Linked DNA regions of Diceros bicornis minor. The protein of the gene in region 2 purifies or fractionates together with the protein of the main gene of each other region. This does not show direct contact. Links are inferred from orthologs where the notes say so. Each region holds a gene or a part of one and is shown on either strand. Other genes may lie near its edges.

Evidence for each region.
Region 1: the proteins of TOP1 (region 2) and PCNA purify together in Homo sapiens (affinity purification with western blotting; 3 studies listed by BioGRID and IntAct, with this or other methods). This does not show direct contact. The link is inferred for Diceros bicornis minor from reciprocal best matches to the Homo sapiens genes TOP1 and PCNA.
Region 3: the proteins of TOP1 (region 2) and HNRNPC purify together in Homo sapiens (affinity purification with mass spectrometry; 3 studies listed by BioGRID and IntAct, with this or other methods). This does not show direct contact. The link is inferred for Diceros bicornis minor from reciprocal best matches to the Homo sapiens genes TOP1 and HNRNPC.
Region 4: the proteins of TOP1 (region 2) and PARP1 purify together in Homo sapiens (affinity purification with mass spectrometry; 4 studies listed by BioGRID and IntAct, with this or other methods). This does not show direct contact. The link is inferred for Diceros bicornis minor from reciprocal best matches to the Homo sapiens genes TOP1 and PARP1.

What each region holds. Positions count from the first base shown.
Region 1 is NC_080758.1:33,278,511-33,286,134, reverse strand, and holds the start of PCNA (proliferating cell nuclear antigen), read left to right. Parts: upstream 1-4,468; 5' UTR 4,469-4,636; coding exon 4,637-4,857; intron 4,858-5,769; coding exon 5,770-5,867; intron 5,868-6,029; coding exon 6,030-6,097; intron 6,098-7,611; coding exon 7,612-7,624. UniProt on the Homo sapiens protein: Auxiliary protein of DNA polymerase delta and epsilon, is involved in the control of eukaryotic DNA replication by increasing the polymerase's processibility during elongation of the leading strand.
Region 2 is NC_080758.1:19,539,169-19,547,254, reverse strand, and holds the start of TOP1 (DNA topoisomerase 1), read left to right. Parts: upstream 1-4,946; 5' UTR 4,947-5,164; coding exon 5,165-5,197; intron 5,198-5,499; coding exon 5,500-5,524; intron 5,525-8,086. UniProt on the Homo sapiens protein: Releases the supercoiling and torsional tension of DNA introduced during the DNA replication and transcription by transiently cleaving and rejoining one strand of the DNA duplex.
Region 3 is NC_080744.1:28,066,025-28,074,035, reverse strand, and holds the start of HNRNPC (heterogeneous nuclear ribonucleoproteins C1/C2), read right to left. Parts: upstream 3,130-8,011; 5' UTR 3,010-3,129; intron 2,374-3,009; exon of another isoform or gene 2,328-2,373; intron 1-2,327. UniProt on the Homo sapiens protein: Binds pre-mRNA and nucleates the assembly of 40S hnRNP particles. Interacts with poly-U tracts in the 3'-UTR or 5'-UTR of mRNA and modulates the stability and the level of translation of bound mRNA molecules. Single HNRNPC tetramers bind 230-240 nucleotides.
Region 4 is NC_080777.1:7,604,581-7,612,598, forward strand, and holds the start of PARP1 (poly [ADP-ribose] polymerase 1), read left to right. Parts: upstream 1-4,907; 5' UTR 4,908-4,956; coding exon 4,957-5,076; intron 5,077-8,018. UniProt on the Homo sapiens protein: Poly-ADP-ribosyltransferase that mediates poly-ADP-ribosylation of proteins and plays a key role in DNA repair.

The DNA.
Region 1 (7,624 bases), about 14 Mb from region 2:
GTATTTGAAAGGCTATATAGTATTCCATCTTACAGATTTACCATAATTTACCTTACAAAGACCATATTTTTAGACCTCAAGGTTATTTCCAATTTCAGGAGAATTGTTAATAATTCTATAAGAAACATTCTTAAACATGCTTCATCTTAGTGAGTATCTCTGGTTACTTCTTTAGAAAAAAAGTCTAGAGATTGAACTTCTGTGTCAAAGAATAAACAAAATTCTAAGGCTTTCCATACACATTTCCAAATTACCACTAGAAAAGTCACACGAATTTGTACTCCCATCTTCAATGCATGAAAGCGCCCACTTCTTTGAATCCTTCCTAATAAATGGGTGTTAACACAATTTTTATTATACAGTATGTTAAAATTCTATCTCCCTTTAATTTATATTTCTTTGCCTATTAATACAGCTAACCAGGGCCAGCCCCGTGGCGTAGCCGTTAAGTGCACGCACTCCGCTGCTGGTGGCCTGGGTTCGGATCCCGGGCGCACACCGACGCACTGATTGTCGGGCCATGCTGTGGCAGCGTCCCATATAAAGTAGAGAAAGATGAGCACGGATGTTAGCCCAGGGCCAATCTTCCTCAGCAAAAAGGGGAGGATTGGCGTGGATGTTAGCTCAGGGCTGATCTTCCTCACACACACACACACAAATATATGGCTAACCATTTTTTCATACATTTACTAAGACTGGGCCTTGGACACTGGAAGCCAGATACCTCTGGCTTTTGTTGAGATGTATAAATTTTCCTTTTCTCTTCATCAGTTTGAATTGGGTTCTCTGTCATGAAAATTTAAAGTGTACTATCTGGGCTGGCCCCGTGGCTTAGCGGTTAAGTGCTCGCACTCCAATGCTGGTGGCCCGGGTTCGGACCCCGGGTGCGCACCGACGCACCGCTTCTCCGGCCATGTGAGGCCGCATCCCACATACAGCAACTAGAAGGATGTGCAACTATGACATACAACTATCTACTGGGGCTTTGGGGGGAAAATAAATAAATAAAAAATAGTAACTAATGATTAGAATTTATAAAAAAAATAAAGTGTACTAACCAACACAGCTCTCTTAAGCATACCAAAGTTTTAAAACTTATGTATGTCATTCTTTATGTTTGACAGGTTTTTCTTTTTATGTTTAGATGTTCACAGAAAGATGTCATAAATATTTACCAAAATACTTTTCCATTTCTTACTGGGTTTACATTTATTTGAATTTTAATTCTTTAATCTATCTGAAATTTATTTCAGTGAACAGTTATTAGGAAGAATCTATAGCTTTATTCTTTCCTAGAAGTTTTACCAACTGTTTCATCATAATTACCTAATTCATTCTTTCTCTCACTGATTGGAATAGTACCTTTACCAGATGTTAAAGTGATCTCTTAAAACAAATTAGATCACATCAAAGACCTTCTTTGGATAACTTTCCCTTGCATTTAGAGGGCTTGCAAAGTCCTATGAGACTTCACCCCTGCCTCTCTTTGCAACCTCATCTTGCACCACTCTTCCTATTGTTCAATGGTGTTCCAGACGCACCAATCTTTTTTTTTTTTTTTTTTTTTTGTGAGGAGATCAGCCCTGTGCTAACATCCGCCATTCCTCCTCTTTTTTTGCTGAGGAAGATGGCCCTGGGCTAACATCTGTGCCCATCTTCCTCCACTTTTATATGGGACGCCACCACAGCATGGCTTGCCAAGCAGTGTGTCGGTGCGCTCCCGGGATCCGAACCAGCGAACCCTGGGCCGCTGCAGCGGAGCGCGCGCACTTAACCGCTTGCGCCACCGGGCCGGCCCCCCCCCTTTTTTTTTTTTTTTATGAGGAAGATCAGCCCTGAGCTAACATCCATGCCAATCCTCCTCTTTTTGCTGAGGAAGACTGGCTCTGAGCTAACATCTATTGCCAATCTTCCTCCTTTTTTCCCCCAAAGCCCCAGTAGATAGTTGTATGTCGTAGTTGCACATCCTTCTAGTTGCTGTATGTGGGACGCGGCCTCAGCATGGCCGGAGAAGCGGTGCGTAGGTGTGTGCCCAGGATCGACCGGGGCCGCCAGTAATGGAGCACGTGCGCTTAACCACTAAGCCACGGGCGAGCCCACCAATCCTCCTCTTTTTTTGCAGAGGAAGACTGGCCCTGGGCTAAACATCCGTGCCCATCTTCCTCCACTTTATATGGGACGCCGCCACAGCATGGCTCGACAAGCAGTGCGACGGTGCGCACCGGGGATCCGGGCCCACGAACCCTGGGCCGCCACAGCGGAGCACCCGCACTTAACCACTTGCGCCACCAGGCCGGCCCCAGACACACCAATCTTTGAGTTCTATTATATGCCAATTATATCTCAATTAAACATATCCCCTCAAAATCTTTGAAATCTAAAACTACTATCTTAACCCCTTCTAAGCATGCTGTCCTTTTAAAACATACTAGTCTTTCAGCCTAGAATACTCTTTCTTCCACTCTCCAAATAGCTAGCTTCTCTGGTAAAATGCTACCTCCTTGGAGAGGCCTTCTCTGACCACAGGTCATAGCCATTCATATGCCCTCATTTCAATTGATCATGTGCATTGTGGGTACCACATGGGTGGAGTTTAATTGCCATTTAAAATGTCTTCAAATCTACTACACTTTGACTTAGCATTAAACCAAAATTTCATTATCTAAGCAAAAAGCACAGAAACAGAGTAGCAGAGTATACCTTTGTTATTAGTGAAGCGAATGTTCCTCACTGGAGAAATGAACACATTCCATGTTTTGCAAAGGAATGGAGACTCTAAAAGACCTAAGAAAGGAAAATACTCACAAAAAGATGAAGCTGTTATATTTTGATATATAGATGTATGCAAAAGGATAACTGATCACACATACAGCAAGAAAGTGCTAGTATCAAAATTTACAAATGGGAAATCATCAACAAAATGAAAAGGCAACCTACTGAATGGGAGGAAATAATTGCAAATCATATATCTGATAAGGGGCTAATATCCAAAACATATAAAGAACTCATACAACTCAGTAGCAAAAAAACAAACAACAGCAATTGAAGGTATCTTCAATTAAATGAAATAGACACATCTAATAGCAATGCCAGAGGGAGGGAAAGACTGAGGAAAGGCAATATTTGAAGCCATAATGGTTGAGAATATTCTAGACATGATGAAATACATGAATCTTCTTATTCAGGAACACAAAATTCCCTGAACAGGATAAATAAAACCAAATCCTAGATATATGGTAGAAAAACTAAAGAATTCTACAGACCAAGATAAGATATCAACCGCAACTAAAAGGAAATGCTGTAATCAAAGCAAAAGAGAAACAACAAGGGGATATATATAATATGGAAATGATTAATATAATATATAAAGTGCTCCTTTTAATCAATAGGAAAAAGTTCAATAGAAAAAGTATAAGCATGCAATAGTCAAGAAATATATGAGAGGTCCAACCTGTAACAATTTTTAATATGCAAATTGAAATTTTCACACAAATGAGCACAAATTTAAAAATGAGATTGCTAATATCTATAGTTAGGAAAATAAGGGGAAATGAGTATGCTCACAGTCTTGGCTGGAACATAAACTGCAATATTTTAGCTGTCAATTTAGTAACACTTACCAAAATTTAATATGTATGATCTTCAACCCAGCAATACTACTTCAAGGAGTTGAGCTCAGAACAATCACCTAAGTGCCCAAAGGTATTCGTAATTACAAGAAATCCGTAAATTAGGTTACATACATAGGATATTATGCCATCTTTTAAAAAGATACTGATACAAAACAGATGAACGTGGCATAAAACATACTTTATTAAGTACATTGCAGAAGTGTTAACAGGATGAACCCATTTTTGTTTTTAAAAATATGTATTTGTACAGAAAAAAAGGTTAGAAAGCAGTATAAAAGCACCGATTGCATGGTATGAGCTTGGGGGGGTATGTGGCTTAACTTTATCATAACTTTATCATAACTGTACACCTCTTTATCGTTGGACTTTTAGGAGCGCGTGACTTCTATAATAGCAATAATAAAATGCACATTTAAAGCAGCTGTTCTCTTCAGGCTACAGGCGGGTTTTCCTCCCGGTAGGCTGGATTTGTGTTTCACTTTCACTTGCGTGACTGGAAACTCTTTATTCCCAAAGCCAGAGGTTGAGGAGGCACCATAAAGCTGACGCTCAACAACTCCTGGCCCGGGCCTGGCCCTCACTATGCCCGGACTCGTCCAGCGTCCAGACTCCGGAACAGGACAAAAAGGCGGGGAGTCCTGCCTGACCCCGCCTCTTGGCCCGGGGAGGCGCTGGGTTCCCGCCTCCACCCCCTCATCCTCCAATGGATGTTCGGGGTGGGCGGGCTTTGAGCGGAGGAGGCACGCGACTGGCCCCGGAGTCTCTCCACCCAGACGGTGGGCGGGCAGCGTGGTGACGCCTCGGCAAGGGGCGCAGGGGCAGAGAGCGCGCGTTCGCAGACGCGGCGGTGTTAAACGGTCGCAGGCGGGGCAGGCGTGTGATTCTCCACCCTCTCGGGCTTTTGCCGCTGCGTGCGCTCGCTTGCTTTCATTCTGTGAAGCCTAAGCCGGCTACACCTTCCTCCTTTCCTTTGACTGTAGCCGCTTCGTTGCGACTCCGCCACCATGTTCGAGGCGCGCCTGGTCCAGGGCTCCATCCTGAAGAAGGTGCTGGAGGCTCTTAAGGACCTTATCAACGAGGCCTGCTGGGACATCAGCTCGAGCGGCGTGAACCTGCAGAGCATGGACTCGTCCCACGTCTCCTTGGTGCAGCTCACCCTGCGCTCGGAGGGCTTCGACACGTACCGCTGCGACCGCAACCTGGCCATGGGCGTGAACCTCACCAGGTGAGCCGCAGGGCGGCGGGGAGCCGGTCCTGCTCCCCGCGACCCCAGCTCTTGGCGGGAGCGCCTCCGAGCCGGGTCCTCATTGGCCGGCGTGGGCCATCTGTGCTTTGTCATTGGGCTGCTGTGCTGGGGGGCGGGACCCAGCGCAGCGCGCGGTTCCGAAAGCCCGCGCTGGCGGCCGCGCGAACCGGCTCTTTCCGCGCCAAAGTCACAAAGCGGTGGTGGCGGGAAAATGACGGGCTTCTCTGCGGTGCCAGGAAAAGACTGTTCCAGAGCTCTTTGGTCATTGGGTGCCGGGGGCCTTGGATGAGAAACCTTGGTCCCGGCTGACTTTAACCGCTTTATAACGATCTCTAGGCCTGTCTCCTTACTTAGGGACAATAGGTTGTTGCTGGTCTCTTATTATTACAAAGTTGCAGTGAGCACCCAAGGTCTTGGATTTGAGGAAAGATTTCTCCAGGGCAGTGGCTTTCAACTTTTGGTCACTGTCTAGCACATACACATATTTAAGTTGTAAAAAGCTTATGAGAAATATTTACCCATGCTACATGCAGTGTGTTTTAATAGGTGTATTAATTAGATCGTTTATAATGGTCATCGCGGCCCAATAATTTACTTCACCCACTAAAAGAGATTTGCAATTCAGAAAATATTGCTCTTTTATTTATATCCAGAAATGAAACTGCTGGTGGTACGGTGTGGGCTTTTTAGTTTAAGTGCAAATACTGCCAAATTGCATTTCAAAAGGGCTGGAACGGTTTCTACATCCTCCTGCAGTACATTTACCTCACTCTCGAATTCATCAGACAGCCTAATGGGTAAAAATGGTAATTCCTTGTTTTAATTGCTTAGAAATCTAATGATCTTGAGAAGATGGTGTCGATTTTAAACCCTGTGTCTTCTGCGTTCTAGTATGTCCAAAATACTAAAATGTGCTGGCAATGAAGACATCATTACCCTAAGGGCTGAAGATAATGCAGACACCTTGGCACTAGTATTTGAAGCTCCAAGTAAGTCATACTCTTCTACTGAGTTATGCTAGAGAAAATTAAAATGTGTCAGTATTTCTCAAAGCTGTGAGAAATTTAAGATGATGTTTATGATGCTTGTAAAATTTACATTATAGTTATAAACTTACATGCTTTTCTTCAACATTTGCTTTCTTTTGGTAGATCAAGAAAAGGTTTCAGACTATGAAATGAAGTTGATGGATTTAGATGTTGAACAACTTGGGATTCCAGTGAGTATCGAAGTTTTTTTGTTTGTTTTTTTTTCTTCCTGAGGAAGATTTGCCCTCAGGTAACATCTGTTTCCAATCTTCCAGTCTTCTTCTTTTTTTTTTTGGCTTGAGGAAGATGGTAGCTGAGCTAACATCTGTGCTGATCTTCCTCTATTTTGTATGTGGGTTGCCGCCACAGCATGGCTGACAGTGGTGTAGCTCCATGCCCGGGATCTGAACCCACAAACCCCAGCCACTGAAGTGGAGCATGCCAAACTTAACCACTAGGCCACGGGGCCAGCCCCTCAAAGTTTCTGATTGAGTGTACTGTACATAGCCATGATAGTTACACATGTTAATATAATAATTTTAAAGCCTACTTCCTAATAGAACTTTTTCTATATATCTGCTGATGCATGTTCCAAAGTGGGGTTTTAGTATTTAGACTGACACATTTGTCATTTTATTATACTACAGTACTCTAAAATGGATCATTTGTTGAATTCGTTGCTGCCAAGTGTGCATATTTGCATTAACCTCCATGCATGTTTTTTTCCCCTTAGAATGCTTGGTTTTTGTTAAGACTAGGTTTATCAATGTCAAAGGAGAGAAGAGGTGTTGGGATGTTTAAAATACCTAATATCAGTGGGCCGGCTCGGTGGCATAGCAGTTAAGTGCGAGTGCTCCGCCGCGGCAGCCCAGGGTTCGGATCCCAGGCACGCACTGACGCACCGCTTGTCAAGCCATGCTGTGGCAGCATCCCGTATAAAGTAGAGGAAGATGGGCATGGATGTTAGACCAGGGCCAATCTTCCTCAGCAAAAAAGAGGAGGATTGGTGATAGATGTTAGCTCACGGATGATCTTCCTCACAAAAAAATAAATAAAATATCTAATATCATATTCTCTTGTTTTGTTTTGGGAGGCAGGTAGGCCTGCTTGCACCATCATTGTTTGCAGTTTGTATGCCGTTCTCTAATGTCCTCTTGATTTAGCCCTGGAGGGTTATTACAGGGAGGCTCTAGTTCCCTGGACAGTGCATTTAGTGTCAAAGGTTTAACTTCTTATTTGTTTTCTTATAACATATGTATTTATATCTGCATTTATTTTTTGAGTGGTTAGATTGTGTTAGGGAATTGCACAATGAGTGATATTTTTCAAAATCAGAAAATCTTAAATTCTGAGTTCTTGGTTTGTTTGTTTTTGAGTTTTTTGCTGAGGAAGACTCACCCTGAGCTAACATCCGCTGCCAATCCTCCTCTTTTTTTTGCTTGAGGAAGATTAGCCCTGAGCTAACATCTGTGCCATTCTTTCTCCATTTTTTATATGTGGGTCACCTGCCACAGCATGGCTGACAAGTGGTATAGGTCCATGCTCCGAATCCGAACCCACAAAACTGGGCTGCTGAAGCCGAGCGTGCGGAACTTGAATCACTCAGCCACTGGGCTGGCCCCCTGAGTTCTTGTTTAGATGCTGATTCTTCAGAAAGTGAGGGTGACAAATCTTTAATTTCCAGCAACTTTTTTTTGTTCTATAGGAACAAGAGTATA
Region 2 (8,086 bases):
CTCTGCCTTTGCAGAGTCTGCTCTTCTTTTGCAGATACCTTCCCTTCTCTACCACAAGCCAGCCCCTCCTCATCTTTCAAGGATGGCATCCAACTGTAAGCCTTTCATAATATTGCCCCTGCTACCACCACTAGTGAGTTGGATGTTCCTCCCCCACCCCAGAGTTCCCATAGCAACTGGTGGCTGGCCACCTCTTCCCTGTTATTCCTTGTACCTTATAGTAACAGTTGGGGAATATTTCTATCTTGTTATCAGACTAGGAACTCCTCCAAAATGAGGTTTAAGTCTTATTAATATCTGTATCCCCAGGGCTTAGCATAGTATCTATCTACCTCATAGTCCCCATTCCCTCATTCCTTCAGGAATATTGGTTGAATGAATAAATGTCCTCATCACAGAAAAGATGTCTTCTGGCAGGAAGGCAAAGGAGCTACATGAAAGTGGACTCCCCTCCTTGCCTGAGCCACACGGCCATGCTCTTATATCCTTGTTGTCTGTCCTCTCATTCCATGACTCAAGGGTTGAGATCTTTCCTGTTCTCTTCTTTTTATTCCACAAATTTCAACCTTTGCTGAGCTCTTTCATTACCAGCAGGCCAAGGGTGTTTCTGGTTGTTGCTGGGATTGCCAGCCTGAGTCTCCTTTCTGGGGCGTCAAGTGGGTTCTTTTCTGAGGGTGTCCAAATTTCAAAAGGGCAGCAGGTCCTTAGGCAGGGAGAACTGCCAGAAGACACCGCTGTCCAAGAATTGGCAAAGTCGAGACTGTGCCAGCATCCAAGGTCAAAATGCCAGGAGGGGCACCCATGTGCCATAACAAGAGGGGCCGAGAGCTGGGGCCAAAGGGATAACAGAGGCCTTGAGAATATCCAGGAATCAAGTATAGATTAGCACTGAGTATTATCAGAGCTCTTGGTCTTAAGTGACCCATCAGAGCAAAAGCAAAAGGGGGAATTTATAGAAGGGTACAGGAAAGGAGTGAAATAAGGCCTCAGGAGATAGCAGGAACCAGGACCCTGAACTCCATTAGGGCCTTCTCTTTCCTTTCCTTCCCTTCCCTTCCCCTCAGCCTTCTCTGGCCCTTTTGGCAGAAAATATTGCTAGGACAGCTCCCTAATTTACACACTATAGATCAACCCCGAAGAAGAGCAACCAAACCACTCTCTCCTTCTCAATTCCAAAGTCTCATGGAAGTCGATCTGAGTGGCTCAGCTTAGGTCAAATGACTGTGGCCAGAGGGACAGCAGCATATTTGTACGTTCGTGCACATTGTACAGAGGACAGGTCCCTGAAAAGCAGAAGTTGTTCAGACAATCCCATAGGTGCTCAGTTCTGGGAGCCAACAGTTGGGCCAACGTGATAAGAACAATTTCAAGAGAGTTAGACGCAAACGAGTCGGGGCTGGATCTTGGGCGACCACCTAAATCAGGCGGCCTGAGGTCCAGTCATTCCAAATAGCTCAGTGTCAAGAGGTAGTGTGGAAAAAACCGTTTCTGGGCCTACGTACATTTTGGAGACGCCGCATGCTATGTCCCTGTTTTTAAGATTTATGTAGGTAGTAGCATATGGATGACTCTGAGAAGTCCTGTGAGAAAAGACCTGTTTAACTTTAAATTGCAACAATGTATGTATTTCTGTACCGAGCCCTTCTTTTAGTGGAATATCTATAAATCGTCCACCTTTCACAGTGCATATTTTGGAAACAGGCCTACAACATCAGCTGTCATCTGCTAGTTATTTTTATGGGGGTTGGGATGACCCATGAGAGAGCAGTCTTGATTTAAAGTAGGGCTTCCCAAGCCTCATTTATTTGCCTGTGACCTTCCCCGAGTTTCTTATACATTCCCTCTGTGCTATTTCTTGATATTTTTATTTAAGTCGATGAGCCAACTTTTTTTTTTTAGCCTCGTCCTAAACAGTTACATCCTTAAAATCATGGATTTGATGTGGTGGTTAAATTTTTTTTTCTCATACACACGGAAATATATACATAACGATTAAAATAAAAGCTTGTCTACGCATTACCTACAATATTCTCAAGCACTAGGGGTGGATGGCCCATATTGTGGGGACACTGGTTTGAAGTGTCAGGAGTCAAAGAGTGGCCATGTGGGCTTGGGGAACCAGTCAACCTCCGAGGACTGCCTGCCACACATGCTGGCAGAGAAGCTCAGCCTGTGACTAGACGCCTGGATACCTGCATGTTTGTGCATGAGGACCATGCTTGGTACGCCATTTTGGAGTCTGTGCTCTGTTTTCATGCTTACCCAGATCTTCCTTGGAGATAGCTGGAAAGCAAATACAGATTCTCCCTGAGCTTTGGGGGTGGTGGTGGAGTAGTCGTAGGAGGCACTGTTATTCCTTAAGGCAGTCCTCAAATTATCTTGGCCTAACTGGAGTAAGCACACAGGAACCACACGCCTCACCTGCTGGCCTGGGATTATTCTGAGATGGGAAGACAATGAGGAAAGACACCAAGCGTAAGGTGAAACTGGTTCTGGCAGCTTGCTTGAGAGAAAGAGCATAGCTTTGAAGTCAGGCAGACCTGAATTTGAATCCAAAATGCAGCACTTATTAGTTATGTGTTCTCAAGCAACTACTTTTCTTTTTTGATACTCTGTGAAAATTCCACTATAATCACCATTGTTTAGAGGAGGAAACTGGGGCTAGAGAAGTTGTGCAACTTGCTTGAGGTCACGCAACTAATAAATAGCAGAGTAGAATTCAAACCTAGATTGGTTTGACTTCTATGTGCATGCTCCTAACCACTGTATTCTCCTGCTGTCATTCACTCATTGATTGCACACCTCTTCTGTAGCATCTGTTGTTGGGTGCTGCGGATCAAGATAGACAAGGTCCCCATCCTCACAGACCTTGCATTCAGTAGGGGAGAGAGACATAAAATCACTAATTATCCCCATTAGTAACTTAATAACAATTGTGATAAGCATTACAAAGGAAAAAGACACTCTATAAGGGGCATTTGATCTGGGTGGAAAGGGGAGTCAGGGAGTATTGGAGGGGAGTCACTTTGAGAAAGTGATATTTAAGTTGAGCTTTGAAGCATTCACAAGAATTAACCCCAGAGTGTTTACCACGAGATGTGATAGAGAGATGATTTCAATGGTCCATGGATGAATACTGTTCTTATTTGTAAATTATTTCATAGACATTATTATTCATAGATATTAGGATGAAGGCAAATACAGAGATCAATTTTAATTTTAAGTAATAACAGTGGAAGTGGTAATAGATATGGCAAAATTTACAAAAGTCACACTTGAATTAAGAAAGTTATGCAGGGCCTTGGCAGCTACATCAAGAATTTTTTTTGCCTGTGTGAGGAAGATCAGCAGTGAGCTAACATTCATGCCAATCCTCCTCTTTTTGCTGAGGAAGACCAGCCCTGTGCTAACATCTATTGCCAATCTTCCTCCTTTTTTTCCCCTTTTCTCTGCAAAGCCCCAGTAGATAGTTGTAAGTCACAGTTGCACATCCCTCTAGTTGCTGTATGTGGGACACCACCTCAGCATGGCCAGACAAGCGGTGCCTCGGTGTGCGCCGGGACGTGACCTGGGCGCACTTAAACGCTAAGCCAGGGGGCTGGCCCCTACATCAAGAATTTTGGATTTAGTACTAAGAGTGATGGGAAGTATTGCAGGAAGGGGATAATGGTTTGATCTGCATGTTGAAAAGATCACTTTGGCTTCTGTTGGCGAGCAGTTTGTGAGAGGGCCAGAATGGAAACAGGGACCTCTGTTAGGAGTGTATTGTAATAATCCAAGCAAGAGATAACGCAGACTTGCTCAGGCATGTGGGCAGTGGGGAAATATAGATGATCGATTGAGGAGATGTCATCAGCTGCACTGAGAAACAAGCAAGACGAAGATGTCCAGGGTGGAGCTTTCCTAGCTGGGTGGAGGAGGCAGATGATGAGTTTGGCCCTGGAAAAGCTTGGGAGGTATCCAAGTGTAGATGTCAGGTACGAGGTTGTAGGTCACATCTCTGACACAGTTTAACTTTAGTAAAATAGGCGACCTCAGAACCATTGTGTGCATTCAGAGCGGAGTACTGTAGATGCTCCACAAACGGCAGCTCTTTCTCCATTCATTTCATCTCCCCTCTGCCCCATAGCATGCTAGGGATACAGCGATGGACAGAGCCAAGTCGTGTTTACCCCCGAGGTCCGGTCTCCTCTGGCCCCCTGCCCCAACCCCTTTCTCAGCACAATTCCTGGCTCACAGTAGAGGCTCAATACATGTATGTAGAATGAACGAATGAAATTAGGCCTCATGTGACACAGGGCTACATGTACCCAGCTGAAAACTGGAGCTAAACCAGACCTTCGGTTGGTTGAAAAATTAAAATAAATTTTAGGAAGTGGGCGAGAAATAATCCAGAAGTTGGAAGGCCTGGACAAAGGCTGGGGCGGGGGCTCCTCCTGCCAAGCGGCCTCAGGGTCCAGTTAGCGAGCTAAGGAGAGCTGGTGAGAGCTCTGGGGCCCCGGCTGTCAAGTTACTTGCAGCTCAAGCGATCCAAGAGGCGGCATATCAGCTCGGCCCGGGCCTGGAGCGGTCCCGCCGCGGCCTTTAAAGGCCCACCACGTGGCCGCGCTGCCGGCCACGGTCCGGAGGCGGAGTCCCCGCTGCGCCTGCGCACTGCCTATCAGAGGGATCCGGAGTTCCGAGAAAAGGCGCCGGGAGAGGAAGGGAAGGTTGCTGAGGGTGGGCGGCCGTGGGAGGAGTCGGCTTCTTATGCAAATCACAGAAGAGAGCGAGGGCTAGGGGCGGGGCTTTCGATGCAAAGCCGGGTACGCCTCAGGAAGCGCGAGGGGGCGGGCCCCGCAACCCTCGGCCTCTTTCCGCGAGTCTCTGACGTCGCCGACGTCCCGTTTAAAAGCGGCCGCGCAGGCGCAGTGGGCCGAAATGCGAACTTAGGCTGTTACACAACTGCTGGGGTCTGCTCTCTCCGCCTGCCAGGCAGTCAGTCAGCGCCGCCGCCACCGCCGCCGCCTCAGCCGTTCCGGGAATCTCGGGCCCGCCGCCGCCGCCGCTTACCCACGCCTCCGGGAGCCTCCCGGAGCCCCCGTCCGCCTGCACAGGCCGGTCCCGACCGTCCGCATCCCGTCGGCGCCCCTCGCCGCCCGGCGCGCTCGCCGCTCCGGCCGACATGAGCGGGGACCATCTCCACAACGATTCTCAGGTACGGCCCGGCCCGGCCCAGGCTCCCGACCCCCGGCGCAGGCCCTGGCCCCGGCGCCGGCCCGGCCGCTTTGACAGGCCGGAGCCCCCGGCCGGAGGCGGCCGGCCGGAGGAGATCGGCTCGCTGGACCCCAGGCGAAAGCCGCCAAGTTACAATTCGGGGGGCTGGCTGCCCCCTCAGGCCGCCCGGGGGCCCCTTCATCCCTGGGGGCGCGGGGTGGGCTAGGCCCCCGGCCGCGCGCGCTCGCCGCCCGCGGGGCTCCTGTGCTTGTTGTTTCACATTCCCTCCTTTTCTCTCTCCAGATCGAAGGGGATTTCCGACTGAATGGTGAGTGTGCCCCCGACCCCGAGCCCCCCAGCCGCCGGCCGCCCACCCCGCGCCCTGCCCGAGCCGGGCAGAGGACAGACATGGCGTCCCAGAGACTAAGTCCCGGCTCCTCGCTCACCGGCCCCATTGTTCCCATCGGGCCGCCTCTGGACCCCCTTTCCGGGGACCCCAGCGCCCCCAGATCGCGGCCCTCCCCAGAGGGGGCAACGGAGACCCCGCGTCGCCCGCCGCCGGGCCTCGGGCGGCCTTTCCGGGCCCGGATTCCTCCCGGGAAAGTCGCCTTGTCGACAGTCGGGACTTAGTCTCTGCGCCATTTTCTTTTTCTCTCTCCTCTCCTTTCTGTGGCTGTCTTTCTCTCCCTCCCTCGGCTCCTTCCTCGAGCTGCCCAGAAAGAGCTTTCTGCCGAGCAGAGCCCTGTAAATCACAGACCTCACCCGGGAGGGAAGGGTGGGAGACTCAATTGTTACTGTTTTTCCCGAAGAGAACTTTATTTTGGGGGTTATTCCCTTTCTGCTTCTTGTTGGTTTCCTTTTCTGTTTCCAGAATGAAAGATACCCTTCGGCAAACTGTTGATTTTTTTTTTTTTTTTTTTTTTGGTAAGATGCTTATGATAGGAATTATGGCTCTAAAACGAAAGCCACCCTCTGTGGAGTTCTTCATATTTTGAGGTTGTTTTCCCCAAGTTGTGTTCTTTGCAAAGGTAGTTGTACCTCTCTTCAAAAAGTTTGCGAGTTCTGTATGGGCCATCCAGTGTAAATGTTGGAATGGGGCGTATTGATTTTTTTTTTTTAAATAAAAGTATTACTGACCAGAACTTTTCATGTTGCTGAGGTTCCTAAGGCAATGTTTTTTTAGAAACGCAGTTTAGTGTACTTGTCAGGAGGAAGGGTTGTTGAGCATCTCGTCTGGACCTGGTGTACTGGCGTTTTCTTTTGGGCTGTGGGGAAGGAAAAAAGATTTTATTTAATGAAACAAAGAGTGGCCAGCAGCCACCCCTGCTTCCTGTTCATTCTTTTTCAGAAGCCGCTGTTTTTCAGGAATAGAGAGCTAGCTTGCTTTTCCTGGATCTTTATGTCTTTGAACCCTTTTCAGCCAAATCAAGGCATTTATTCTTTGAGTATTTCCACTTCAGTTACCCAATGAAGATTCCCCCAATAAAAAGCTCACCCTGTGGGCTTTTCAACAATCCTGTTGAAGGAGAAGGTACCCTCTCTAGTGTGCTGGGAATTCCCACTGATTCTGATGGTACATAATCCTGCTCAATTGAGTTTGGGTTCCGGGAACGTCTCCAATGGGAGAAGCTGATGAGTAGGTTTTCTGATGTTGTAATCAGCAGTCCATCGTGTTAGCCTGCTCTACTGAGAGCGGCCTTATGTTCAGCTTTTGAAGTGGGGCATCCAGTGGGAGATGGTACTCTGTGAGGAAAGAATCTGGTTCAAGTGTAGCGTTTCTTGAGCACCTAGTATGTTATAAGCACTGTGCTTAGTGCTAGAGCTGAACCTTCTGCCACAACGCTGCTCATGTCTTCTATCTAGTCTATTGGGTGAGATGTAATTAGTTAATTATAAGGTAGGTACTGGGGTATATATATACCCAGAATGCTTTGGGAAACTAGGGGACTTAATTTTGTCTGGGGGTGGGGAAATTTCTCAGAAGGTGACTTCTGAGCTTGGTGTTGTGCAAGACTAGGTGCTGAGTGTCAGGGGTTGGAGTATTTCTTAACTGTGTTTAGCCAACCTATCAGGATTTTAAAAGAGGGAGATGAGGTCCTGCAGTTCAGAAAGCCAGCAAGAGTATAGATATGTTTCTTTGGGATGTGTGAGCAGAGAAATGATGTGGCAGGTGAGGAGGTAAGAAGTCCTTTTGACCTTTCTTGGAGGAAGGTAGGATCTTCATACAGAAAAAGTGTTCTTTTAACTTTCAAGCTGGGCTGAGTAGGTAATGTATTTAGTAATGAAACAAAGGTTAGTCCTTTCTCCTGGGAAAGTTAACCTCCATGGTTCTCAGCTAAATTATACAAAGGAACTATTGAGTATTTGAATGATTGTGGGCTGGGTAGGTTATTGATCTGTACGGCCACTTGTATAGAGACTAAGTAAACTGGCTATGTGGAGTTTTAGAATGTGTTTGTTTGCTTGTAATAGCAGTAATTACTAATATTTATTGAATGCTTACTCTCTACCAGAAAGGAATCTCAGCTCTTTCCATGGATCATCTAATTGAATCCTCGGAAGGACTCTTATGAATTAGGTTCTGTTATCTCCAATTGATAGGTGAGGAAACCGAGGCTTAGGTATGTTTACTAGCTTGCCCAAGGGTAGTGAATTGGGCACTCCAAAGCTCACAAGCTTAGCCACTGTGCTATATATTTGATTCTAGTATGAAGAAGTTAAAAGCTGCACATCTCTACTTTCTTACAGAGCTGAAAAGGGCGAGAGGGAAGGATTTGATAGTTTGTCATTTGCTTACTTGTTATCTAAACTCGCTCCTTCAAGAGAAAAAGCACTTTGCCTCCCTACTACCCTGAGGGTCTGACACTGGAGTGATTATCTTTGTAAATAT
Region 3 (8,011 bases), on a different chromosome or scaffold from region 2:
TTTCAAAGTGAAGATGTCTCCCAAGACGTTACGTTAAATTGATGAGCTATCACTCATAAACAAAGACCAAACAACTTTAGCACCTAACTGTAAAGCTTTGCAATCAACAGCATACTTAGATTAAACTGTCAAATCTCTGGGAGGTTCCGATTCCTCCTCGAAAGGGGTATTCTCAAAGCGAGGTCTGCCAACCAGCATCACTTGGCACTTAATTAGAAATGCAAATTCTTGGGGCACAACCCAGACTCAATCAGAAACTGGTGGAGAGCCCAGCAATCTGTTTTAAATAGCCCTCTTGCTGATTCTGATGTCAGCTCATGTTCAAGAACCACTGTGAAGAGTTTAAGATTGATATAAAATAAATCCAAGAACATTATAACCTATCATAATAAACGCACCAAGAGGATAAAAAAATCCTATAGTAATCCTTCTTCCCTTTATAAATCCCAAATTTCCAATATCTAAGAAAATCCATGTAGTTATGCTACATCTAATAGCTCTGGTTCTCACCATGGTCAACTCTCTAGTAAACCTAATACGTACAAAACCATAATCTTCCCTGATCCCAATGAGAATGAATGAGTATACATATAAAGTATGAGCAAATACTATTCCCCAAAAACTACTACTAATAAAATTACTTGAAGACTAAAATACTGATATTAAGGCAGTTAACAAAAATTACTATTATAAAAAAACTGCTTTTAATAATAAAATTATTTCTGTATACTTTTCAGCCACCCAGCAACAAATAACTTGAGTTATAGAAATCAGCAGTTAACAAAGGTAACAAGTCTAAACCCCCTCATAAGTATAAAACTGAAACCCAGAAAGTTTAACTGATTTGCCTGACACAGCTAATAACCAGCAGGGGCTAAAATCCAGTTCTCTAACTCCTAGGCCAAAATTCTTTCAACTGTCACACTCCCCAATTTACATCCCACACATTCACCAGTTAATATAATTAATCTTAAAGATTAGAATAACTAGCTGTTTTGGAGTTTATTCCTTGCTTGTTTCTAACAGCAATTCCATCCAAAACAAAGGTCGCATACTATGTGAAACCCTCTAGAGACCTAATGACAAATACATGGTATGTTTAATTCTCTACAGAAGGAATAGCAAACAGGACACCAAGCATTCCCCTGGCATGAGTATGGGAAACACACAAAAAGGTCAGAAGACGTGCAACTTAAGTCATCCTACTTAAATCCTTCCTCTCCAGCCAACATGAAAATGTTACTAATGCCCACCTATTTGAAAACACATCTAGAATTGTTTCAGATATTAATCCTGTGGCCACATCATTCCAGATGAATATTACCTCAAAGGAACTGTTACCTTGGTACATGCCGATCTCAAGGAACCCATAATTCTAACACCTTAAGGCAAAAAAAAGTGCCCTTCAAATAATTTCAACTCTTATCAATAATTGTTCTTAAACATTAATTCCTTACATTTCTCTTTATTTGCCAGCAATATTTTTATTAAGTCTATGATCTCCTGAATTAACCAATCACTGCTCTTACCTCATTTCTAACAGTTCTGCAGAGGGATAAACTTTAATTTTAAGCCCATATAATAATATATATGTTTAGGCTTAAAAAAATATAAAGGCAACGCCTTTAATCCCCATCACAGTATCTACACGGTGAGGGATCAACAAATGCATAGCTATCTATAATAAGACTACTTTTATTTTCTATCAAGTAGACTTGTTTCCTAAGGGATGAATTTATCCTGCAGTGTTGGTTTAAACTGTGCTTAATAACATAAGTTTTTGTGAGAATTAACACACTAAGAAAAATAAAATCAATGAAATCTTACACCAGGATAAAAAAAGCCATTTCTCAGAAAAGTGAAAGGGGTGCTATTTAGAAACCTATGTAATTTTTATAAGCTTAGCAAAAATTTTTAATCATGTTTCAGGACCTTGCAAATACTAGGCACTATAATACGTGCCTAAAACTATTTAGTCATGCATTTTTGTTAAAGTTTAGATGGTCTGGAAAATTAATATGAGAATACCCTGAAAGTCAAATTTTAAGTTTATCAGGACGTTACATTAACAACAAACGCAATTCTCGTAAATATTTTTCCCAAGTGCAGTTTGGGAATTTCCAGTTACCGCTAGTGGTTGCTGTAACTAGGACCTCGTAAACATCCAGATAATATACTACTTTTAGCACCTAGTATTCCAATAGGTGGGTAAAACCACTTGACTATCGTATGTGATCAAATTCCTTACCAGTTTCACTGATTTAATACGACCCTGGCAACCAACACTCTTACGCCTCAGTTTGTCTGAGAAAGACAGTAATACCTACCTCAAGCAAAGTTCCACTAACTTATATATTTCAAGTGATTTGTAACCTGCAGATAAAAAGTAAGCCAGCTTTAATTATTACTGTTAATATGTAAATGAGATTACAATATTTTTTAAAAATAGAATTGAAAATAACCATTTCGAGGTCCATCTTTTGCTCAGGGAGGAATAAAATAAAAAGCAACAAAATGTTAAATCTATTGTTATAATATTCGTTATTCTTACGCCCTGCGGTACGCTCCAGGATTTACAGGCCTGCGGCACAATATGTACTCTGCAACCCTCCCCCAACCCCCGCCCAATTTTTAAATTTAACAGGAAACAGCGGTACTACATTAACTTCAACTATATCAATGCGCATCTCGATCTTTCCTTCCACGATCTCTCTTGGAGTCCTCATGGTTTTAGAAAAGGAAAGGAAAGCAGCCGTTAACACAGGGAGCGAAAAAGAAAAAGGACGTTTTCCCTGCGGATCGTGGCCTAGAGGACACTAGGCTAAATCTACGCAAGCGCTGAGACCTACAAAACTCTCTCCAGCATAAGACACAATCCCCCAGTGCCAACAGAATAAACCGGGGCCTGGTTACTCTACCGAGGGGAAGGTTCCCTCGTCTCCTCTCCCGCACACTCTCGCGCTCCCCGAGGAACCCAACGCCTCCCTTGCTTCCGCCCCGTCTACTTACCAGGAGGGGGAAGGGAGAAGAGATTCGATTCTGAATCTCCTACCCCCGGGTTCTACGTGAAGAAGCCGACTGCTGCTCGAGGTCGGCAACGCGGCCGCAACCGGTTCGTCTCTTCACAAAATGGCCCCCGAGCCTCCTCTGCCGCCGAGGAGAAGGCCTAGCCCCCGCCCCACTTCTAGGAATCTTCCTATTGGCTGCGACTTTTCTCGCTCCCGCTTCTAATTAGACAGTTCTACCGCTCTTCACGATTCTGCCCAATCACAACCAGTAGTGGGTTAGACTAAGCAAGAGAATTTCCACATGCGTGAGAGAAGCTAGTTTGTAACTGGTTGTTTTTCCTGTCATTTATCGCCTGAGAAATGCTTATTGGCCACTGTACCTGACGAAGCGCTGGGTAGAAGCTCGCCTTTGTATCGCGCACCACTTCACATCCGGGTATCTGGAAGGTCTGATTGGCGGCCACGGTGTCCTATCTCTGCTCTTTAGAGTGCCTGCTAGAAGGCTCGCCCAGATCTCGGAATTCCCGCGGCGCGGGGGCGGGGAAGGAGTCAGGGGTTTTGTTAGGTAGCAGGCCTTGAGGCTCTGCCCCAGCCCCGGGCCTAGGAAAAATGAGACGCGCAGAGTGAATCCTCCGTCGTGCGCTGTGGATAAAGAAAGGACTTTTCTTGGAGTGGGGAGGGAGCAGTGAAGACTAGGCCTAGTCTTGTGTGTAGAAAACTAACCTGCCCTGCCGTTTTTCCAACCCTAGATCCCTTCTCGGTTCTAGACTCAAATGTCAGCTCCCTCCTGGACAACTCCACTTCATAGCCTGTCGGGCCCTTCTTCAGAAAATCCATATCTCACCTAAACCAACTGACTTCCTAATTCTTCTCCACTACAAAAAGTAAAGAAAGTCTAAATTCCAATCTTGGAATGCTACAGCGCCCATCCTCTGGCCCAAGTCATCTCACTTACTAAAACCCTACATGCCCACTAAATAGGCTTCCCCCTCTGTCTCTCTCCCCAAACAATCTGGTCCCTTAATTCTTTTCATCCTGAAATGGCGTGTTTCCCATCTACTCGTCTGGGTCGTCGCCTGCCAGGCTCTCTCGTTGTATTAGCAGCCATGAACGCAATGGAATAGGACCAGCTCTACTAAGAATGAGGCAGATTTCTCTGTGCCATTAGGGAAAGCAAAGTGCAAAACACTGTCTAGATGATGTGATTCCATCTGTATGTAATAAGTAAGGGATATAAGTGTATGTGAATGCAATTTTATGCATTAGTTTTGAATTAATTCTGAATTCCAGAGCGATTCACGAGGGAGCTGGCTGTTACCTGTCAAAGGACAAAACTAAAACAATTTAGTAACGAATTTGATGTCCTTTATTCAAGGGAAAACAATCCATGGATTGGGAGAAGGCAGTGCCTCACAAGCAGTGGAGCACTCTTGCCGAGGGCAGGAGCCAGGTTCATGTAGCATCAGAAGCCTCACGCGGAAACAGGCGGAAACAGCATGATCGGCTGGGCTTGCGTATCTGACCTTATTTAGAAAGATCAAGGAACACGGAAATAAATACAGTACATAGCCCAGAGCTGGCTTGGTATTTGAGGATTGGATATACTGCGTTTCTGGTCAACTGGAGCGTTTACAGGAACATGAAAGTTCGGTTTGCTGACGTGTCACCCAGCATGAGAGTCTCCATCTTGGGCCTAGAAATTTATTTCAAAATACCTTTGGGGAGCGAACCTTCTACCTTTTTCGATGGTATGCCTTTCTATACTGTTTGAATTTTTTCCCATATGCATGTATTGCTTCAAGCTAATTTAAAAAGCAAAAACAGAAAGTGTGTAAGAAAAAATATACTAAAATGTTAGTAGTGGTTCTCTCCTGGTGGGACAATTACATGTGCTTTTTTTTTTCACTTCCTTGTGCTTTTCTATATTTTCCAAATCGTCGACTTTGAACAAGAAATCAGAGAGAGAACATTCTACAAGTGCTTGAAGCCTCAGCTCAATTGCCCACATTGCAATTTATTTAAAACTACTTCAGAGCACTGTGGTTAATTTTACACTCATCTCTTCTCCGCTCCTGGATGGTAAGTTTTTTGATGGCAGAGTTTAATTTTTATTCCTCTCTGTATTCCCCTTGCTTACTACATATCACAGGGCCTTAAACAGAGATTGTTTTAAATTTGTATTAAATTAATTAATTATTAACTTTTATTTGTCAGGGGAAATTGCTATTTTCCCAGGACAAACAAGTACACTGTCCTTTCTTTATTATATATTTTGTATAGCACTTAACTCAGAGGGACCCGGAGACTGTGAGGCTTGGTCTACGTGTAATTCATGTAATTCTTGACTTAAGTAAACACAAATAAACACTAACATGTTTTATTACTCATTGTTCTCATAGAATAAAAATGTCTATAAAATGTCAATGAAAACCACTTATTTCATTTTACCAGAAATCAGTTTTACTGCATGATCATTGTCATGACCTACTTATTAACCAGCACTGTATTTGGTGCAAGAGAAGTACTTAAGAGACAGCATTTATGTTTTCCAGGAGTTCACTCCTATGCTAGGTAGGGTGAAAATGGAGGATACATGAAGAATTAACAATCAGTACCTCTGTCAAGTAACTTAGAGTTTACTAAGGATGAGAAAACTAGTGCAAAAATAGCATAATACAAGGCAGAACGCTAAGCACCATGTTGATAGCAGACATTCATGACAGTGGTTTTAAGGCTCTGTAAACCTAGGTGGGGGAGATGGAGGGAAGGAAGTTCCGTTGATCTCTTCTGCTTACTCTAAACACCTTTACAGTTCTAAAGGTGAATGCTTCTTCTATTGGGTGGCTGTGTAGAGTAGAAAGACAGCCATTAGCCAGACTCCAGGAGTGGAGGGAGAGAGAAGGAAGAGGTAAGGAAACAGAGAAGAAGTTAACTCCTTACCTTGGGCTAAAGAGAAAACAAAACAAAACTGAACTTTTATTTTTAATTCAAGAAGTAATTCTATTTGAGGAAGGCTTTATGTGGCTTGGGCGTTTTACCAGAATAATGTACCCGCTGTAACTTCTCTCCTCCCAATTCCAAGCCACCTGTCAAGAAGAAGAAAGGAAAAGCAGCAATAGCTATGAAATGCCTAATATTAATATTATTATATTAATAATATTATAAAGATATTACACAATACTTTCAAGACCCTTACTCTTTTACTGCATCCTGTTTCTCCCACCTTGAGTCTGTCCCTCAAGCTGATCCTGCAAACTGCTGTCATGGTAATCATCTGAAAGCATTCACTTTCACTGTGTGACTCCCACACTACACTCCTGTAATAGCTCTCTATTCCAGTCCTACGTTTTTAATTGTTTCATTCACAGCCCTTCCCTGACTGTCTCATTACCTGTCAGTGTTCTCCACTCCACAGGGCCCTATGCCTGGGCAGCCCCTGCTGTCCCCACTCCAATGGGCCACATTGCTGTTCTCTTTCCCCATAATCCAACCATTCTTTAAAACCCAACTCAAGTCCCAATTAATGCTTTTAAAGAATACATGATGATTCATTCAACTGCTTATTTAATCAACCAATACTTTAGTGGGTTTTTTTTGACTTTAAGTATTTTATATACTCAAGGCATTGATCTAAACGTCACAAAACTGGATATAACTTAGTTCCAGTTCTCAAACTTTGCACCCCTTCTCAAACTCATTTCGTAGTCATTATTTATCCCATAACAGGATAGCACTGTTTTGTTCTGTAATCCTTTTGTTTATGGACCCCAATTTGTGCTTGGTGTATGTGTATGAATCACAATATTGAATAGGTTGATTGTTTGACTAGTTATCTGACATAGTATTTCATTATACCTATTTCTGTTTTCATTCCAAAAGCCTTTGGCAGTGGGTAAAATCATACTAGGGAAATTTGGAATACAGAGTCCAGTGAATAGATTACTGATGATCTGGCTTCTAGAGTACAGATTCTATAAAAAAGATTTTACACATTGTTAATAAAATTAGTCATCACTTCGGTTGCATACACACCTTCTCAAGGCTTCCAGTGTGTTTTTTCTTTCTTATTATTTTAAAGCTTTCCAAATGGAAATATCCTATTTGATTTTTTTCTGATAAATATGTGATTATTGTAAAAATTTGAAATACAGAAAAAGTGAAAATCCCTATGTGATCCATTCTCCAAAAACATCCATTTTTAACTATTTGGTATAGATGTTTACAGATTTTTAAAAAATGTATATATGGATTTATTTTTACCTAAGTATTATAATCTGTAGTCAGGGACTTTTAAATTTTTGTTTTAATAACCAAAACACTGAGCTTAAAAATTAAAAAATAAAAGAACAAGCAAAAAATCTTTATCCACAAAGCTTGAAAAAATTAGAAAGATTAAAGAAATTCTGAATCATGACATCCATTTAGTGGTTTTGGGGTTGAGTAGTATTTGACTTTAAGTATTACTGGTCACCCTCATATTAATAATAATAAAAATAATAGATAACTTTTATTGAGCGGATATCATGCATCAAGCACTTTTCTAAGTATTTTACATGAATTAGTTCATTTGGTAATTTTATTATTCGCATTTTAAATATGAGGAAACTAAAACACAGAGAAGTTAAGTAATTTGCCTAAGGTAGCACAGCTAGTTGTTAATGGAGCTAAAAATGCTAGGAAGTCTGATTTTAGAATGTGTGCATATAACCATTACAAGTTATTAATAATATAAGTTTTGCAAAGGTGGAAAAATCCTACTCATTTATTTAACAAATATTTATGAAGTACGTGCTATGTAATAAGCATTATGCCAAGTTCTGTGCCAGGTCACAGGAACATAGAAGTAAACAAAATAGACATGGCCCCTGACCTTCAGAACAGAGTCAAATACTAAATGAATAATTAATTAATTGCTTAAAATAAATTTTATTAAGTGCTACTAAAGATAAGTATAGAATGCTATGGACCTGTGTAATATAGGCCTCTATCCCCTTCAAGGAGAT
Region 4 (8,018 bases), on a different chromosome or scaffold from region 2:
GTTAAGCAAAATGGAATGACTATTGTCTGCCTCTCCCCCTCTTTCTCCACATGTCTGTAGTGAAGCCCCCATGTTCTTACAGGACATACCTCTTGGTCCCTGTTGAATGATCCAGGGGTGGGCATCTGACCCACCCTGGTTTCATCAGAATTCTTAGCTGGAACGTCTTAAGTAAAACTGAAGAAAAAAGCCCCCCCTGGTGGTAAGAACCATAAGAAACAGAGGTCGGGAAACATCGGTGGCCTTGATCTCTGCCACGTGTGGTAGAAGCCAGTCTCCCGTGAGAGGGAAACATGCTGCAGAGAAAAGCAGAGACAAGAAGCAGAGACACAGTCCTAGAGGCATCTAAGTCCCTGGGTCCTCTCATCTCTACAGTCCATCAGGTTTTAGTCCTTCCCATAACTTGGTTGATTCTTCCTTCTATTCTATTAGATACCCTCGTATCCCTTCCCAAAACTTCTCTTTTGGGAGTTTTAATACAGGAGTTCAACAGAGGGTTTTGAGCAGGGTAGAAGTCATAATCAAATTTATTAAAAAAAAAAAAAAAACTTTGGCAATGGATGTGTTGGAAAAGGGAGAGAAGAATAATGCTGAGGGGAGAAGTGGTGAAGACAATGGCAGTGGGAGGGATTGGAAGGGTCAGGAGAGGAAGCAGACAAGGCTTAATGGGCAAGTCCCTAGACCTTTCCAGCTTCATGTTCTTATCTGAAAACTGGGATTTAAAAACACCTACCTAGAGACATTGCCAAGGCAAGTGAGAGCTGATGGGCACTGGGCCACTCTGTGCCTCGCTGAGGAAAAATAACTAAGCACAGGCAAAGGAGACCCTAAGAAGCCTAGAGGCAAAATGTCATCACAGGCATTCTGCGCAAACTTGCCAGAAGGAGCACAGGAAAAAACATCCAGACGTTTCAGTCAGCTTCTCAGGATGTTCTTTAAAATGGTCAGAAAAATGGAAAGCCTTGTCCGATAAAGAGAAAGGAAATTGGAGACACGTCAAGAGTGGACAAGAGCCCTTGTAGAATGAAAACTTGTATCCCTTCTAAAGCAGAAACAAAAAATTCAGGGTTTCCAATGCACCCAAAAGGACTCCTTTGGCCGTTTCCTCAGTGTGTTCCAAGGATCGGCCAAGAATCAAAGGGGATCCTGGCCTGCCCGTAGGCAATGATGTAAAGATCCTGGGAGAGGGCCCTCCCAGTGGCACAGAGGTTAAGTGCACGTGCTCTGCTGCAGCGGTTTGGGGTTCGCAGGTTCCCATCCTGGGTGCGCACTGACGCACTGCTTGCTAAGCCATGCTGTGGCAGCGTCCCATATAAAGTAGAGGAGGATTGGCACGGATGTTAGCCCAGGGCCAATCTTCCTCAAGAAAAAAGGGGAGGATTGGCATCAGATGTTAGCTCAGGGCTAGTCCTCCCCACAAAAAAAAACAAAAACAAAAACAAAAAAAAAGAACCTGGGAGAGACATGAGCCACAGCGCTGCAGATGGCAAGCAGCCTGAGAAGGCCGTTCAGCAGAAGGAAGGATCTTGCTGCATCCTGAGCTAAAGGAAAGCTGATGTGGCACAAAAGGATGCTGTCAAGGCTGCTCACAACTAGAAAAAAAGGTAGAGGAGAAAGACAGAGAAGGAGAGGAGGATGAGGAGGAGAAAGATGGAGACGACAGAGTTGAAGACGATGATGATGAAGAATAAGGTGGTTCTAGGTCAGCTTTTCTTTCTCTTTCTTGTCCATTAAGCATTTAACCTCCATAATTCATTCCTTTAAAGAATAAAAATTGAAAGATAAAGCTGTATAAGATATGTTTTTAAACTGTTGTGGTTTTTTTGATATTGTTAACAAGAATTACCAAGTAATTCTTTAGACAACCCTGACCTGGTGGTATTTTCAATAGCCACCAACCTCACCGGGGATATAGTATGCGGGTTAGGAGTTCAAAGCAGGTTCTCGTTGGTGCACAGTACAGATTAACTAATCTGTTATACATGGGCATGGTAGTTTTATCAACTTCAATTGTCTCTCACGCAGCTTGTATGAAATAATTGTTGTTCTGTTAACTGAATACCACTCTGAAATTGGGGGATAAAAAGTTACAGCTGTTTTGTGGACAATCTGAATGCTTCTAAGTAAATACAGTCATTTATTAGTTTTTAAAGTAACCTATTTCATAGCATTATAATGAGGAGCAAACAAACTTATGTTTATGAATGCCCTTTATAAAATACAAAAATCTATATAAGTGTGAAGTACCGTTATTATTAAACAATTGGGCTGTGCAGAGGAAGTGTCAAAGGTGTGATTCATTCATTCATTCAACAAATATTTTTGAATGCTTGGCACTGTGCCAGGCACTGAGGCTAGTACAGAGAGCAGAACAGATAAACCCCTGCCCTGGAGGAGCTTGCATGCTGGTGAGGGAGACAGACAATAAACACATGCATATGTATAAAATACGCTGTTAGGAGTAAGAAGTAGAAAGAAGAATATAAAGTAAGACAAGAAGATAAAGACAGTGTGCAGAGACTAAGCATCTTAGCTGGAGTGGTCATGGTAACGTGTGAGCAGAAGCTGAATCAAGAGAGGAAGTGAGCTGTGTGCTCGCTGGGTGAAGACTGTTCCAGAAAAAATAAATGCAAAGGCTCTGGGGTGGGAGTGGGCTTGGGGTGTCTGAGGACCAGGCAGGAGGCCAGTGTGGCTGGGGCAGCAGGAGCCCTGGGGAGAGGGTGATGATGATATCAGAGAAGTGACCAGGGTTCAGATTCAGCCGCAGGAAGAACTTTGGATTTTATTCCCAGTATGAGGAGAAGCGTTTGGAGGGTTTTGAACATGGAAATAATACGGGTTGAGATCTAAAGCGACCTCATGTGTTTTCACGGGAAGAAAAGACTGTAGGAGGGCTGGCCTGGAAGGAGACCAGGCAGGAGACTGTGGAGGAACCGCAAAAGATGATGGCACTCCACAGCAGTGCTGATGGGAAGGAGGTGAGAAATGATTGAAGTCGGAAAGTCAGGATTCGGTGATGGATTGGATGTGGGACGGAAGAGAAAAGGAGTCAAGTCGACTCTAAAGCATTTGACCTACACAATGTGGAGAATCGTGGACCATTTCCTGAGATGGGAAGCACTGGGGAGATTTTGGACATTGTTGGAGAAGCATATATGACACCCAAACAGAAGTATTGACTAGGCAGTAAGATATGGCTGGCTCTCCCTAAAATTCTACCCAGGTATTCCTAATCTTGTGTGTGTTTGCCCAGGACCCCATTGCGGGTGCAGTGAGGTCTAAGAAATTCTAATGCGATGGTAGCTTCCAGATACGCTATCAGGCAAGCTGTCCCGGAAGTCACAAAACAGAAAGCCTCACAGACCAAATTAAGACGCTTGAATTACAGGTTTATTGAATCACCTGAAACACCTGATTTAAAGTTCCTGCAGCAAAGGGAACAGCATGGGGCAGATAACACACACAGGACAGGGAACAGGCAGGCGGAAGGACCATACCACCTGAATGTCCATATGTTCTGTCTCTCTCTCTCTGCTGCATCAGCCAGCCCCCCTGATGATGGGGTCACGAAGACCAGAGCTGAGGACGCTCAAGGCTACTCAATAGAGGGTACCTGGAGCCACTTCACAGTCACCTATCAGAGAGACACAGGGGCAAGTACGCCTGGACATGGATGTAGTTTGTCAGTCAGCCTGCTGAACAGACATGGGTTTTATCTGTAACTCTTGCGCAAATCAGACGGAGCCAGAACGGGACCATAATGTTATCACCAATGAGAGGCCTTTTAGGGATGACATAGTTGTCAACCCAGACGTGGGATGATCATGCCTTTTGATTTGGTTACTCTCTAAGTAAAATTCTTATTTGTACCATCATATATTCCACCTATTCTATTTACCTTCGACATATCTAACAGGTCATGAATTTAGGATTCTGCCTGTGTCTCATAACCCACTTGCCTACTCCACACCCAAGTCTCTTAAGCTACTAGCTTTCTTCTTCTCTATGCTTAACAGGTTTTATGAGTCTCATTCATCCCGTTTCCTTTTCTTGTCCTCTATAGCAGAACTGAATATTCTCAAACACAGCACTCTCCGTTATAATGTTTTAAATGAATAAAATACAATGCATAGGGTTAAAAAAAAGAAACCAGTTATATAAAAACATAGTTCTACACTAAATAACGAGATCTAGTACCAGACGGTGTAGTAACGACAGCAATTGCAAGTAACGATGAACTTAATATTTTGAGTTCTCTCCAACAACTGTAAAGGGCCATGAAAACCTCTGTGATGACTACTGCCGACATAGTCACAGGTACTGCTAATACTCCCAGGATTTGCATCCATGCATTTAAAATTCACAGTGAAGGAGATGCTAGAGCTCAGTTCGTACTCGGTCGGGAAGGTCTGCGGACTGTAGTTAGAACCCCCGCCGAGGGTCAGCCAGCGTTGACCCCTCTCTAGCAGAGCAACCACATTCCCGGGCCAGCCGCGCGCCTTCCAGACCTGGGCGCGCTCCGGGGAGAAAGGACACACTTATTAAAAGGGATGGAGGTGGAATTAGTTGTGAGAGCACGCAAGCCTTGCTGGCGACGAAACGGTTAAGCAGGCGCCACCAGGTCCCTCCGAGACCTCCTCGCGCGCGGCCTGCCCGGCTCTGCGCGCAGCCGCAGGCGCCGGGGAGGCGGCACGCCAGGGCCGGCAGGGGGCGCGCGCCGGGGCCCCGCCCCGTGGACGCGCGCGCGGGGGGCGTTCCCGCGGCGGGCCAGGCATCAGCAATCTACCCGGAGCGGCGGGGGCGTGCGCGGCGTGCGCGGCGGCGGCGCTGCGAGCTCGGGCGCCGGCGGGGGGCGGACGGGCGCGCGCGCACGCGGGGCGGGCAGCGGCGGCAGCGGCGGGGCTCCGGGGCGCGGCGTCGGGCTCCCGCGGCTGCGGCGGCGCGAGGACCGGGAGGATGGCGGAGGCCTCGGACAAGCTCTACCGGGTCGAGTACGCCAAGAGCGGGCGCGCCTCTTGCAAGAAATGCAGCGAGAGCATCCCCAAGGACTCGCTCCGGATGGCCATCATGGTGCAGGTGCGGGCGGAGGGCCGCTTTGTGCGCGGCGGGGGCCTCCGCGTGGCCGGGGAGGGGGCAGGGCTTGCGCGGAGCGGAGCGGCGGCCCGGGCCTGTGGGCGCCGCTGCCCCTCCTCCCCCGCGTGGCCCGCCGGGCGGACCCTCCCGCAAGCTTTTGCTGATCTTGCAGGAAAAGCCCGGGAAATGCATTCTTGAGCTCGTGGACCCCTTCGGTTTGTAAAAACAAGGAGCGGTTTCTATTTATATTTCTGGGGGGTGGAGTTCTGGTTTTTTCATTGCCCTTCGCCTCGGGGGGAGAAAATGTGTGCACGGTCTTTGGAACCTAGTCAGGTTTTGACCTACCTTGTCCTGGAAGATTTTTTTGTCCTACATTGATGGTGGCGACTGGCGCGGGAGGATTTTTTTTATATATCTATTTTTGGCTCTTTCAACTTCGACTCACTCTCATTTTTTTTTTAATTATGCAAAACCACACAAGTCGGTGTCATTTCTGTACAGGGCATTGACTTTTGGCCTAATTTGTGGTTGAAAATAACATTTTCCCCAAACTTTCCAGGTTCACAGACGCATTTTCTTCTTGATGCATTTGCAGCTATCTGGTTTGAGTAAGAGGGGCTCCGGGATTCCTCACCTGGGCCTCTTGACACATTGGGGATCCCCCCTGCCCCGTGTTCCCTGAGGCTTCAGAGATGGCTAGTGGGTTGCTGGGTGGGCTGTGAGCTGTGTCTGAAGGCCCCTGCTGACGCTGAGGGGTCCCTGCCTCCTCCAGCTTCCAGCCTGCTCCTGTCTGCCGGTGTAATCTTGGTTCTCATCTGCTCTGTCATCTCCTCCTCCAGCTTAAAGCTGTCTGTTATCCAGACTTGGTGCATAGGGTCAAGATGGCTTGGTTTTCCCTCCCTGCAGGAGGGCAGTAGCATGTTTTAGGAATGGCTGGACAGCCCTCTCTGGATTTCCACTTACGAGGTGGAAGAGAGTGGGTACCGAGTACTTAGGGTATCTCATTTTGTAATGTGTTAGGGACTGAGGCTGCCATCTCGGTATCCTCAGGGCCAACCTAGCTCAGTACTCGGCACACAGTACTCATTCCGTGAACACTCACTGAGCGCCTGTTGGGTTCCAGGCACTGTGTCAGGTACCAGAGGCACAAAGAGAGACTCCACCTTTGGCAGCTTCCAGTTTTGTTAAAGGGAAGGTGACTGATGAACACTGCTGTACCTGGGTGGGTGCCACCTGATGGAGCTGTGCATTAGGCATTGTGTGCCCAGGATGGGAGCTTGATTAGAAGTCATTAGTCCCAGTGGCAGGAAGTTGAGGATGGAGAAGCAGGCGAGGCCTACCACTTGAAGAGCCGTGTCTCCCACTAAGCATCTTTGAACTTGACCCTGAGTGTATGGGCGGCCTGACCTTACGAAGCTCCCTCCTAGTGCAGGGGGCTCCTAACCTGGAGTCTGGGATGGCGGATAGAACTCAAGAGGTCCCTGAGTTTAGATGATAAATTTACATCCCTATGGTCACTAATGTCTAGATTCAATTCATTATTTCCTCCAGTTATGAATGTAAGCAGCAAAGCAAAGGCCTAATAGCAGTACCTTGATTTTTGTCATCAACAGTAATTACAGATATTTTCATATCATTTTACGTTTGTTGGGAGTTTCCCAAAATATCATTTATGCTCATCACTACTTCAGAATTACAGTAGGTATTACAGCGGGTGCTAGATCTCTTTATTTAATGCTTTAAAGCTCGTGGATTACTGTATCCCAGTAAGCTTTTTAAATGTTTTGATAACTGTTTCAGTATATTTGGTTTCCTTGGTGAACCTGTGTATTTTGTTATGCATTTTTAAGTGTTATCCAAGGAAGGGACATGCATAGGTTTCACCAGACAGCCCAAGAGAACCCTGTTCTATTGAGAAGGACAGACAGAAACCCCATATCCAGCCAGTGTGTAGAGGCAGGAAGGGCACTGTAGAGAGGAGGGCTAGCTGTGTCTGGGGGAGTCGGGGATGGCCCCATTGAGGAACCGACTCCTGAACCAAATGAAGTTTAACATTCCGGGCCCTCGTTTGGCATACTTGATAGAGAAAGAAATTATTATTAAAAGTAAGTGTGGTTTTCTGTAATAGTTGGTGGGGGTGGAGTTTTAATCCAGAAAGTAATGTTGGTTTTGTTTGCTGAGCTGGCAGAGGCCAGAAATAAAGAAGCCATTCTTCTCCTACTTGGATTTAAATACCTTCTTTTGCATTTGTATGGGAGGATTGTTCTCTTGAGTATCAAATACGTGATACTTTAACTGGCTTGCCCGGGGGCAGCCTCAAGGGGACGGGACTTCCAGCCTTTGGACTGGGAGGGGGTTGTGGTGGGCTCCTGTGTTGTTCTGTCTTGGGAGGGCTTCAGGCACCCAGCGTGGTCACATACAGGGAGGTGACAGTCATTCTGCTCTCTGTTGGGTAGGCGGGCAGTGGTGTGTCCTGTTTTACGCAGAAGGAAGCAGACAGGGCAGCTGAGTGAGGACGCTGTTACGGGGTAGGTTCTAAGTGTTTGCTGATTACACAGCCAAAGATTCTGCCATGCTTGAGCTGTGCGGCTGCCAAGCAGTCTTGTGACCTTGGTCTGGTTCCCTTCCTGCCATGTCATCCTGAGTCCTAAGTTCTAGGGTAAAGCTTTGCTTTGGTCAAGGATTCTTTCCTCTCGAGAGAGAATGGGGGCCCTTACAGTGCCCCAAGCCTGTGCTATGAGTACACCTCTGCTGCTTGGCACTGCCCCATGGTTGGGGGCTGGTGACGCAAATAATCCATAGTCAATCTATAAATCAAAATTGGGGTGAGTTTGTTACCGCACAAAGGGCACAATCTGCTTGCCATGAGACAGAAGCCAGTCGTCAAGAGGCAAGATGGTGGCAGAGAAAGGGTGGTTTATTACAGCTTGCTAGCAAGGGGGAAG